Linked DNA regions of Arabidopsis thaliana. The protein of the gene in region 1 interacts with the protein of each later gene in a pairwise test. Each region holds a gene or a part of one and is shown on either strand. Other genes may lie near its edges.

Region 1 (4,763 bases):
CCAAAATATATTTTAAAATACAATATTTAATGAAAAATAATGTTGATTTGGATCTACATAGTCCATATTTTCCTATGAATTCCCCACACGTCACATTGTCAATTACATATTTGCTTCTCTAATAGACACCGACATACCAAATCAACAAATCTTATCATCATCTCCACTTTCACTCAGAGAAAGAAAGAGAGCGACCATATTTTTATCTGAATAGAAGAATAAAAACGAACGTATTGATCTTTTTATTTTTTATGACTTTCTCTTTTCTATGCATACTCCGACCAAAGCCAGCTGTTTGATTCTGTAAATCAAATAATGAATTTGTACTAAGGGGTTTAGACAAATTCACTTCTTTCTTATCTCACAAGTAATCAAAGGAAAATAATTAGGATGTTTGAATAAAAAGTTAGGGTTTGCTCTTTAATAGTGGTCTCTTGAATTAGGTTAAAGATGGATCTAATAGATGGCAAAACCCTTCTATTTATACAATGAATTCAATATATCAAAATATGATAAACTTCTAATTATCTAAGAATTAAATCTTCATTACTTCTATTCTGCACGAGATCCTCTTCTCTGAAATGGAAGTCTTCCCTTTACAAGGTTTAGGAAGTCGGCTGGGCGACCTCAATTGTCAAATTAGGTCTTCTGGCGATCTCATAACTTAGGCCGATTAACAGGCTAACCGGGGTACCCCGGTTAAATCGAGTTCTCGATTTTATACACATTTTCCTCCGATTTAAACCGGTATTGTCGGAGGTGCCAATTCCTGCACCAACACCAGCCATGCATTTCAAATGAGATAATCCTTTATGAATATTTTCGAATGTCATGCAAGATCTAGAATGAGCATTAGGTCTCAACTATGGCTTGTACAGGGCCGAATGAGTAAGCCCAAAAGAGGGTGATGTGTAAATTGAAGTCCAAGTCTTGTACAATGCAGCAATACAAGAGAGAGAGTTCTTCTTGTGGTTGTGTGTCAAGTGTGTGTGATTTTTTCTGTGATCTTGTAACACATTCGTTTTTACTTTCTTAGTGAGATAGAAAGAGTTTTTTGATATGTTTCTCCTTTGATTAATAGGGAATGTAAAGAAGTACAAACGGCAAATATATATCACTAAGAATAGAAAAGGGAAACCCTTAAAACTACAGTTACTTGGCATAATAGATTCATTCATTAGCCATGATCAGTCACACCCCACGCGACTCACAATGGGATAATCTGAGTTACAAGAACAGAGTTCCGCACCACATGTCTTCCACCACAAACCAAGTAACAGATCCAAAAAAATTTTCAGCAAAAAAATGCTTTTAAAAATCCTTGTAAATTTTTTAAAAACTCTTTTAAAAAACATTGTAAATTTTTTTAAAAGTTTTGGTAGTTGTTATAAACCCTTGTAAATCATTTTAAAACCTATTAAAATCTTTCTAGAGTCTTTAAAAACATATGTAAATACTTTAAAACCTCTTTTTAAACCTTTGTAAATCATTTTAAAACCTTTTACAATAGGTTTACAAGATTTACAAGAGTTTTTAAGAGTTTTAAAAGGATTTACAAAGATTTTCAATTATTTCTTTTTCTTTTTATTATAAGGGAATCTTAAAAGAGACCACCATTGCTCATGCTCTTAGTTTTAGATTTTATGGTGCTATATACTTGAATAGTTTATGAAAATTGGTTACCTTTTGTAATTCACCGATTATTTTTAAAATTTATTTGTCTGTTTTTTGTTTGCTCCGTAACTTATACGGCAAATTCGAAAATAGTTTAAATATTCAACACTGATAGTACTAAAAAAATAATATTTTGGTATATAAACGAGACGAGTCCAATTTAGTTTTAGTATATTTATATATCTAAATATAATTTGAAGATATTTGTATTTCTTTAAGCAAAAGAAAACAGACTTGTTCATTTTCCAACTTCGGTTTAGAAAAAAAAAAGGAGACGTCGTCGTCTTCTAGCTTCTGATTAAGTCTGATAAATTATGCCCCTAAATCTGTAATTCTCCAAGGATTCGGATTCGATCGATGAAAGCTTCTCAAATTTTGGCGGCTGCAGCGGCGAGGGTTGGACCGGCGTTAAGGAAGCAAGTATTAACCTTAACGGACGAAGCTGCTTCTAGGGTTCATCATCTCTTGCAACAGCGTCAAAAACCTTTTCTCCGATTAGGCGTTAAGGCTCGTGGCTGCAACGGCTTGTCGTACACTCTCAATTACGCCGGTAAAACTTCTGGGAACGGTTTCAATTTCACCGCCTTTATTGTTGTTTCTCTGGTTTTTTTGGGTGGAATCAAGTTTCAATTTTTATTTTAGGTTTTTGGGTTGAGTTTTGAATTTTGATCTTGTGCTGCGTTTTGTTCCTATGCCTCTATTTGATAGCTATAGGAGGAGGAGATATATAGTGTGTTCAAATTGAGATTTTGAGTTAGACTTTGGTAAAATTGAGATTGGGGAATGTTTATGATGTGTGTTTAATAGTGATGAATTTGGTTTTTGGGTCATTGATGATTGTTATGTATCTAGTTACAGAAGTTTATGAGTCATATACAGGGACAATATAGCTGAATGCATACGTTCTCTTGAGTATCTAGATCTTCGCCACAGTTTCGTCGATGAGAAAACCGTATGCGTTGCTATGTCCCAAGTGCTATCTAGTTTACAGTGAAACTTTCAATGGATGTTACCAAGTTTCAATTGTGAATTTAGGGCATTGATTTTTTGTGAGTTTTAATCTTGTGCTGTGTTTTGTTAGTTTTCCTCTATTTGAGAGCCATAGCATAATGAGATATTGATACAAGAGGTAAATTTGAGATTTGGGAATGCTTATGATGTGTGTTCAATCATGATGAATTTGATTTTCTTGGCTCATCAATGATTGCCATGTATTAAGTACTACTATCTAGTTATAGAGTCAATGATTATGTGGATGTTTCTTGTCTTATGAGACAAATTCACGGTTTAAATGCATAGTTTCCCTTAAATTGCGAGCTCTTCGTCTCATAGACGAAAAAGTCATATGCATTGCCATGTTCCAAGTGCTATCTACTTTAGAGTAAACAAATTGATGAATGTTTGTTGGCCTCTAAGTGTGTAGATATTTGGCTCAGGTTTGGTAGACACATATCATTTTTTGTTCTCAAACTTGATTGTTAGATTTGGTAGATCTGTAACATTTTTTTGTTCTCAAACTCGATAGTTAGGTTTGGTAGATACGTTCGTGTTTTCAAACTTTTTGGTAGTCAGGTTTACATTCAATTTTGTTTATATCTGTATAACTGAATGTGAAAAAGTGTACACTAGTATTAATGTTTCTCTATCTGCCCATTAGCTAATGCGTAGTTTCTCATTACAATCTCTAAAAATTGTCGTTATGCTATGTTACATATTGTTAATTGTGTGTCTTGAGCCATTGTTTAACATACATTTCTCTGCGTATATTTGTTTCAGATGAGAAAGGTAAATTTGACGAGTTGGTAGAAGAGAAAGGTGTGAGGATCCTTGTTGAACCAAAGGCCTTAATGCATGTGATTGGAACAAAGATGGATTTTGTAGATGATAAACTCAGGTTTGGACCTCTGTCACATTTCAAACGCAAAGTCACTTGTCGATTTCTAAAACCATATTAACCTTTTCTTTTCATTGCAGATCAGAGTTTGTGTTTATCAATCCTAACTCACAAGGACAATGCGGGTGTGGTGAATCGTTTATGACAACATCTACCTCTAGTGCTAAGCAGAGTGCTAGTTAACACACAGTGATGCGTTTACATTTGTGATTACACTCATATATTATACTGTTACTGGAATTGGCGTTAATGAGAAACAAATACTTTTTAATAAGAATTGAGTTTTATGTTTGTGCGCTACTTTCAGGCATTAGATTGGTCACTTTATTGCATATACACATTAGAAGCTCATGTTGTTGCTTAGAGATATTTCTGAAGCTATGTATTTAGTGGAACGGATAATCTTGAGATTAATTAATGTATTCCTTATCCCCAAAGTTATAAAATGTTGGATTACATAAACTATTTTTTATGGTTACTACTTTAGACCTTAAGGGATAGAATTTGTTTCTCTTGTATGTGTCTAAGTCTATTGTTGGCAAACTTGTTAGAGGATTTCCAATGGTGCTTTAAATCCTATATTTTGGGTAAAATCATCTCCAATGATACTCTACGCTTGCTCCACATGAGTAGAGCAACACTATTCATTTTCTCTGTTTTTGGGGCACATTTCTTTTATTTACAAAATATTTCTTCAAATGGCCTCTCTATAGGAATTGGTTAACACAAATCCATGAGATTGCTGATGCATTTGAATCTTGTACATTCCGTCATATTGCCACAAACGCAAATCTGATCGCTCGATCCATTTCTCGGAGTGTGATTGAAGACAGAAGGTTTCAGTTTTACATAGCACTTGGAGCGAGAGCCTTCATGGCTTCACAATCAAGTGTTTGAGAAGAGTAAAGTTTAAATTTCATTTTGTATATCTCGTTGTTTCACTGTTATTTTGTTTCTGTTTCTGTTTTAATTTGGCTTTTGGATTTAACTTCGTACTTTATTACTTTTTCTCTTTAATAATTATCAGATGACAAAAAAAATTCAATATATTAATATTTTATACCTAAACAAAATTATATAATTACATTTTTTGACGACAAAAAAAAGGAATATATAATTACATTTTTTACTTACATAAATTTCAATATATTATCATTTTATATCTAAACAACATTATATTAATTAGTGTTTTTAC
Region 2 (7,816 bases), on another chromosome or scaffold:
ATAAAGGACTCATCTACGACTAATACCATGCAACATACATATTTCCTTAATCACATCCATCATAATAGTGTCTTGCTCATGTTTCTCTTCATGTTATCCTTCCAAAGGTTCAGAATCCACCTCTTGATGAGTGTTACTTACCGGTGAAATATGACCTGAAACTTTTAGTGTAAAAAACCATAACATGTTTTGTAGCTTTGGTTTCAGATGTATGAGTAAGTCCTCCTCCTCAGCCATTCCTTGTGGCTTTTCTTTTACGAATTCTTGATTCACTGTCTTCATTTATTCGGAAGAGCCTCTTGACTTTAGTGCCGACTGCTTCTTCTAGCTCCAACTGAGTGTACTCATCCATAAGTTTTTCTGGTGTTAGATTCAGACAATGACCAACACTCGCACAACCGACTTTAGTTATCTCCATTCTTTCTTCTGCACTGTTGTTCTAAGTGTTGTGTTCAAAAAAGTTTCCATGTAAAGTTGCTGCTTGTACTTCCTTCTCTAAGGAACCTTTCACATCATCATCTTTGTTTGAGTGAATCTCCTTCCAACATTCAACTGAGTTTTCCAAGATTGCTGTGATTAAAATCAGAAAGAAACACGGATTAGAACAAAATTAGTTTAGCCATAAAACTGAAAAAGTAACTCAAATCAAATGAATACAAGTATATACCTTCTATAGAGCTACACTCTCAGATCTAGGAGTGCAAATAAGAGTTTCTCTCTTAGTTTTGGTAGTTTTCTCAGCAATAGATATTGAAACGATATTCTTAACAAGGTAACGGCCAGTAGACACGACTAGCTCAGCTTCAGTGCTGCTCACTGGTACTTGCACTGAAGCAGGTGATAAGCGCTTGACAAAAAGTACAGAGTGTGATGATACTTCCTCTTTGTCCTCCTTAACTGCAGATATTAAAACTGTGTCTCGCTCAATTTTCTCTTCACGTTGTCCTTCCATAAGTTCAGAATTCAACTCTTTAGTGCTTATTATTTGAGAAACTATCAACTGGTTTTTCCAGTGTAGAATCCAGAACATTCTCATAATCATAACAGATCCTGCACCTTTGGTTTCTGAGGAAATAAGGTGAATCATCAATCATTCCTTATGGCTTATCCTTAATGCACTCTTGATTCATTTTCTTCAACTACTATTGGAGCCTCAAATGAATTATGTCTCGAAGAGTTCCTTGTCAATCTAACATTTAGCTTCTTGAATCTTGACATTTTCAACAGAGGCTCCATTTCGTTCACAGTCAATACTGGAACAACTTTTCTGTGAATTACTCATTGCTTCCAGTATTCAAAATGTATATCTCAGAGAAGGACAAATCACGTCGCAACGTAATAATTTTTTGCAAATAATCTAAATTAATCTAAGAGTCATTTTTGAGGATAAAATCGAGTTACTGACATCTTGTGTGTCTGTCCTTCATACCAAATTATCCGGTCAAAAAGCCACCACACCGGAAAATATTATTTTCTTATCATCGCCATGTTTTGATTTTTCCACGTTTACACCTTTTAATCTAAAAATCAATATTTCTGGAAGAAAAAAAAAAACAAATTAAAATTGTCACACAAATCACAAACTGAAATCTCAAAATCGAAACTAAAGCTTCTCAGATCTCTAACTATAGCTCAAGGCGGAGGAGACTGAGATCGATCATCTGAATCGCCGAAACATGTCGAGCGATAGCAATGATCTTGACGAAGATGAGCTTCTTCAAATGGCGTTGAAAGAGCAGGCTAAGAGAGATCTCACCTATCAGAAACCTCCTTCATCTTCTGCTCGTAAGCCTGTTGCCAATTTAGTGCAGCAGCCTCGACAGCAGAAGCCTGTGGCTGCGGCTGCCGCTCCGCCGAAGAAGTCTGCTGCGGCGGTTAGGAAGCCTTCCATGGATGAGGATGAGGAGTCGGAGGTGGAATTGCTTAGCATTTCGAGCGGGGATGATGATTTGGAGAGGGAAAGGGAAATAGGTGGTTCTAGTGGTGGTGCGGGGAGAGGAAGAGGTAGCGATGTACGAGAGAAGGGAAGAGCGAGGAAGGAAGATGATGGTGCTTGGGATGGAGGAGAGCCTGATTGTTGGAAACGGGTTAATGAAGCTGAGGTATGTATTTGTGGCGAGATTCATCAGTGAATGCTTATGGCTTTGCTTGTTCGATCAAGTTCAAGAGTTTGAATTCGATATATTGATCTATTTGTTGAATTGTACGACACTGAACAATACCATTCGTGGGATACGGTGAATGCTATCCATAGTTTCTGGTGTTGAGTTGATATAGAGAGCTTGATAATTAGCATGCCATTAGTGATTTTAGAACCATAGCATCATATGGATGTATAAGTGGAAAGATGACCATTTTCACTGAAATTCCGGTGGCATTTTGGCAGCTTGCTCGTAGGGTTCGTGATATGAGGGAATCGAGAACAGCACCCGTGGTTCAGAAAGTAGAAGGTAAAGCACCTGCACCTGGGAAGAAAGTGGCTCTGACTAGTTTGCAGTCACTTCCTCGTGGAATGGAATGTATTGATCCACTAAAATTAGGGTAATTGCTCTCGTTTCGTTTTGCTTACCATGGAAGCCAGTCAGATGCTTTGTACTCTGTCTTTGATATGGTAGAACATATCTAAACCTGAATTTGTCTACTTCATAGGATCATAGACAATAAGACATTGAGATTAATCACTGAGTCGTCAGGCAGCCCATCAAAAGCTGAGAAAGTGGATAATACTCTTCGCGGTATGTCTTTCTTTACCATATCTACAACTCGAGTGAACAGTAGCACTTACAATTTTTTGGAGGGCTAATTCGATGTACAATTTCCAGTTGTCTAATTGTTATGTATCTTTTTCTGAGTATTTGCAGAAAAATTGGTTTACTTCTCTGATCATTTCGATCCGAAGCTGTTTCTTTCCCGTATTCACCAAGACACGACTGCAGCAGATTTGGAGGCTGGTGCCCTTGGCTTGAAAAGTGACTTAAAGGGTCGGAATCTGCAAAGGAAACAATTGGTGAAGGACAATTTTGACTGCTTCGTCTCATGTAAAACAACAATTGATGGTATGTATTATTACTTCCAACTGAATAATTTATGTTTTTTTCTTCTTTCATTTTCATGTTGACCACTGATTTTCTTAATAGATATTGAGTCAAAACTGAAGCGGATTGAAGAAGACCCCGAAGGTTCAGGAACTACTCATTTGTTTAATTGTATGAAAAGTGTGACATCGAGGGCCAATCTTGCATTTGAGCCACTTTTTGAGAGACAGGTTGGTGTGATTCTGATTTACTTCTTTTGCTTGTCACTCTCTTTCATTTTGCTGAAGCCTTTTTCAAAATCACATTTAGGCTCAAGCTGAGAAAATCAGGTCTGTCCAAGGAATGCTTCAGAGATTCCGGACACTGTTCAATTTACCCAGTATCATTCGTAGCAGTATTAGCAAGGGTGAATATGATTTGGCTGTTCGAGAATACAAGAAGGCGAAATCTATTGCTCTACCTTCTCATGTATGCCTGAATTTTCAATCACACTCTCTTGAGACAGATCCTATCCACATTCCTATAAGCACTGAGCCTTCTTTTTATTACGATTTAATTTAATTACATAACAAGGCTCTTGACAATATAGAAAAACAAGCTGCTTTCAGGTTAATATACTCAAGCGTGTACTCGAGGAGGTTGAGAAAGTTATGCTGGAATTTAAAGGCACACTATACAAGTCTATGGAAGATCCGAAAATAGACTTTACAAGTGTATGTCAGTTATAATTCATTTTATTTTAATGTCAACTAGTAATTAAACTGAACAATCCTTCATTCAAATATTCACCAAATGCATTAACCATACTACTGATATCATGTCAATATTGCAGCCATCATGAATGTTAACTTTTATTTAGGATATCCCGTTTTACATTTTCCCAGTTGTTGTACCTACTAAATAAAATGACTAAATTTTTTTCCAGTCTATTTTTTTGTCTTGATATCTGAGGTCTGTTCTTATTTTAGCTGGAAAACACTGTGAGGCTTTTGCTGGAGCTGGAACCCGAATCTGATCCTGTGTGGCATTATCTAAATGTTCAGGTCGGTATATTCGAAGATGTCACTCTTTTACTACTTCTTACTATGTTCTGTGTGGAATCTGGATTCCTAATAGATTTGCTTTGAGTATCAGAGTGACTTTTAGCTTATAAAATCTTTCATTTGTTTCAACTTAGCACATTTATATGTCTCCTACACTTTTTGTTGCAATCCTCGTGTATTTTCATAATTGGCTCTTTAATTACAGAATCATAGAATCCACGGCTTGCTTGAGAAATGTACATATGATCATGAAGCAAGGGTGGAAATTTTGCGTAACGACACTCATGAGAAAGCCATCTCAGATGCAAAGTGGCAACAAATTCAACAAAATGGCGTTTCATATGTGAGTCTAGCATTGAGAATGATATATCATTAAAAGACTATTCAATATTCAGTTCTTTAGATGATAACGTGCCTTGTTTTTTCATCCTCTAGTCAGATACCGCCTCTTCTAATGAAAATAATGCAGTTCAAGTTGACCTACAATCAGTGGAATTCCCCAGCGAAGAGATTGATATTTTGAAGGGAAGATACATCAAAAGATTGACTGCTGTGCTTGTGCATCATATCCCTGTGTTTTGGAAAACAGCTATATCTATTTTCAGTGGAAAATTTGCCAAGGTATCCGCTATTCTTTCTGCTTAGATCCCTATACTGACCCAAGAGTAGATTAATTCTGTAGTTATTATTTCTTTCTTGAATTGGAAATAGTTCTTCATTTGATTTGAATTTAACTTTGATTTGCTTAGTCCTCCCAAGTTACTGATACTTCAGCCAATAAAGCTGAGGAGAAGGTCACAGAGGCAAGATATTCAACTCATTCTTTGGAAGAAGTTGCTGGGATGATACGCAAGACTATTTCTGTCTATGAAGCAAAGGTATTATCTTTGTTTTCTAATTAAGTGACCTCTTCATTGGAACTTTTCTTCACATTAGAAGGACAATCCTGTGGTATCTGTGCTATAAAGTGGCTCTAAATATTTTCTTCTCCTGATTACTGCTGTTGTAGGTGAACAGCACATTTTGTGATTTTGATGAATCATGCATTCTCCGCCCATTTATGAGTGATGCCATTAACGAAGTATCAAAAGCATGCCAAGCTTTTGAAGCCAAAGAGTCAACGCCCCACAGTGCTGGTATTTGAACTTCTTCTGAAGCTTGAGCTTGCTGTTTAATTTAAGTAGACTAAGATGCTGTATAACCTTTTTGGTTATGGCAGTCGTTGCACTGAGAAAAATCCAGGCGGAAATCACTAAGATTTATATCCAAAGGCTTTGCTCTTGGATGAGGGCCTCCACGGAAGGAATATCAAAAGAGGAGACGTGGATCCCGGTTTCTATTCTTGAAAGGAATAGATCTCCATATGCCATCTCTTACTTGCCTCTTGCATTCCGTTCAGTTATTGTCTCTGGCATGGAACAAGTCAATCTGTAAGTTTCAACCGTATTTTGGTAACATATAGAAAATATTTACATTGTGAGGTTTACTACACTGTGGAAGTGAAAAACCCCAGTTTTTTCTATTTGTTGTATTTGGAGTTCCAGACGTCTATGTTTCCAGTACATACATCAAGGTCTAGTCTTTTCTGTATACATTAGAAAAAACAAAATGCCAATAGTCAGTAATTGTGATTCTAGCTTGTCATACCGTGATTACCAATTCTATGCTGAGACATGTAAAATCAAATGACTGTACCATGTTTGTATGATAGGAAAGGGGTCTTATATGCTTCTCATTGCTATTCAGGAAACTGCATATACAAATGTGTACTTTTTTCATACCACAGTGTTTACTTTGTTAACCTGTTGATTTCCGTGTATACCTTTTTCAGGATGATTCTGTCTGTCAAAAGTGAAGCTGCCAAATCAGAAGATATGTTTGCCCAAATTGAAGAAATCATAATATCCGTTAGACTGGCATTTTTGAACTGCTTTCTGGATTTTGCTGGTACGAATTTTAACCAAGCATCCTTGATAATATCCTCATGCAAACACCGGAATGCAGGCAAATGCACACTTTAAAGTGGTTACGTTGATATGCTAATTTGCTTTCACCATATGCCAGCGCACTTGGAGCAAATTGGTGCTGATCTTTCCCAAAGCACCTCCAGACAAGATAATTGGAAAAACGGATATTCTGATGAGCATCAGGAAGAACCATCAGCCAACACCTACGGAAGTGTAATTGATCCTCACAGGCGGTTGTTGATGGTCTTAAGTAATATAGGTTACTGCAAAGATGAACTTGCTTCAGAGCTTTACAACAAGTTCAAATATACATGGTTACAGTCTAGGTTAGTCCCTGCTTAATAAACGTCATTAGTGCTCTTCTGAACATCGTCTTTACTAAGTGGTAAACAAGTTGGGCATACTCGTGCATACTTAAATGAGTCAAACTGGATAATAGGTATTAACGGTTAAATTTGATGTGATTCATAATCAAATACTGTTCTCATGGGTGGATTTTGTATATGGTGTTATAGCTCACTAAACTAAGATTTTTGTGTTTTCACTTATTCAGAGACAAAAATGAAGACAGTAGTGATCTTCAAGATCTAATAATGTCTTTCTCTGGACTCGGAGAGAAGGTCCTCGAGCATTACACTTTTGCTAAGGTATTAATTTTTTTCCAGCCATATTAGCCTATGTATGCTTTTGCTAAGTGTTATAAATAGAACTTTAAATTTCCGAGAATTTCACCTGTTCAGGCAAATTTGATCAGAACAGCGGCCACAAATTATTTGCTGGACTCTGGTATTCAATGGGGATCAGCACCTCAAGTGAAAGTAAGAAATCTATGCGAAACGATATCTATTAGCTTCTTGATTTGAATGAAGAAAAGAATTACTTAAATATTTACTCCAATCTTCCAGGGCATACGAGATGCTGCTGTTGAGCTGTTGCACACTCTTGTAGCTGTCCATGCAGAGGTATACTCATGAAAAAAAATTATTGGTCGTTTTGTGGTTCTTTAGACATTTTGACATTAAAATGTGTTCCTCGACAGTGTTCATAGTGTAAAATCCTAATAACTTTGCACCGGAAAATAAAACTGCAGGTCTTTGCTGGTGCTAAACCCCTCCTGGACAAGATTCTTGGCGTGCTGATCGAAGGTCTAATCGACACTTTTCTGAGTGTTGTGGAAGAAAACAGATCAAGTGACCTAAGATCAATTGATGCAAATGGTTTCTGCCAACTGATGTTTGAGGTAACTTGTTCTTTTCATCATTAGAGATGCTCACTAACAAAAACTTCATCTCATAATGAGAAACAAAGTTGTTTTTACAGAAGCAGAGAAGCTTTGCAGATTTGTGATTTGCTAATTCTGAATTTTCATCACAACTGCTGCAGCTTGAATATTTTGAAACAGTACTGTATTCATATTTTACAAGCGCTGCAACCGAGTCTCTTAAATCTCTACAAGGAACCGTGTTGGAGATAGCTATAGAGAGCATCAGTGAAGCAGTCGAGACCCCAGGGCATAATCGTAGACCAACTCGTGGCAGCGAAGACACAGTTTCAGATGACAAGCAATCTGTTTCAGCAGATGACCTCCTCGTAACACATACATTTCCTTTCTCTTTTCAACAGATTTGATCAAATATCAAAACCTCAATTTTGATCATTTTGTTTTATTTCGTGAACAGGCTCTAACGAAACAGTGTTCAAACGAATTGCTACAACAAGAGTTGGAGAGAACTCGTGTGAACACAGCATGCTTTGCAGAGTCAGCCCCATT

The links.
Region 2: the proteins of AT2G16710 (region 1) and SEC5A interact in a two-hybrid assay, tested with the Arabidopsis thaliana proteins (one large-scale study listed by BioGRID).

What each region holds. Positions count from the first base shown.
Region 1 is NC_003071.7:7,246,263-7,251,025, forward strand, and holds AT2G16710 (Iron-sulfur cluster biosynthesis family protein), read left to right. Parts: upstream 1-1,880; 5' UTR 1,881-2,031; coding exon 2,032-2,242; intron 2,243-3,450; coding exon 3,451-3,568; intron 3,569-3,648; coding exon 3,649-3,751; 3' UTR 3,752-4,027; downstream 4,028-4,763. UniProt on the Arabidopsis thaliana protein: Involved in the assembly of mitochondrial iron-sulfur proteins. Probably involved in the binding of an intermediate of Fe/S cluster assembly.
Region 2 is NC_003070.9:28,846,337-28,854,152, forward strand, and holds the start of SEC5A (exocyst complex component sec5), read left to right. Parts: upstream 1-1,534; 5' UTR 1,535-1,676; coding exon 1,677-2,102; exon of another isoform or gene 2,103-2,386; coding exon 2,387-2,541; intron 2,542-2,649; coding exon 2,650-2,735; intron 2,736-2,861; coding exon 2,862-3,056; intron 3,057-3,137; coding exon 3,138-3,265; intron 3,266-3,344; coding exon 3,345-3,503; intron 3,504-3,643; coding exon 3,644-3,748; intron 3,749-4,003; coding exon 4,004-4,078; intron 4,079-4,283; coding exon 4,284-4,421; intron 4,422-4,513; coding exon 4,514-4,699; intron 4,700-4,827; coding exon 4,828-4,956; intron 4,957-5,087; coding exon 5,088-5,214; intron 5,215-5,297; coding exon 5,298-5,508; intron 5,509-5,909; coding exon 5,910-6,025; intron 6,026-6,142; coding exon 6,143-6,371; intron 6,372-6,598; coding exon 6,599-6,692; intron 6,693-6,785; coding exon 6,786-6,863; intron 6,864-6,950; coding exon 6,951-7,007; intron 7,008-7,135; coding exon 7,136-7,285; intron 7,286-7,428; and 3 more. Other genes in the region: AT1G76840 (uncharacterized protein), read right to left, coding at 230-426, 505-570, 685-952. UniProt on the Arabidopsis thaliana protein: Component of the exocyst complex involved in the docking of exocytic vesicles with fusion sites on the plasma membrane during regulated or polarized secretion. Involved in polarized cell growth and organ morphogenesis.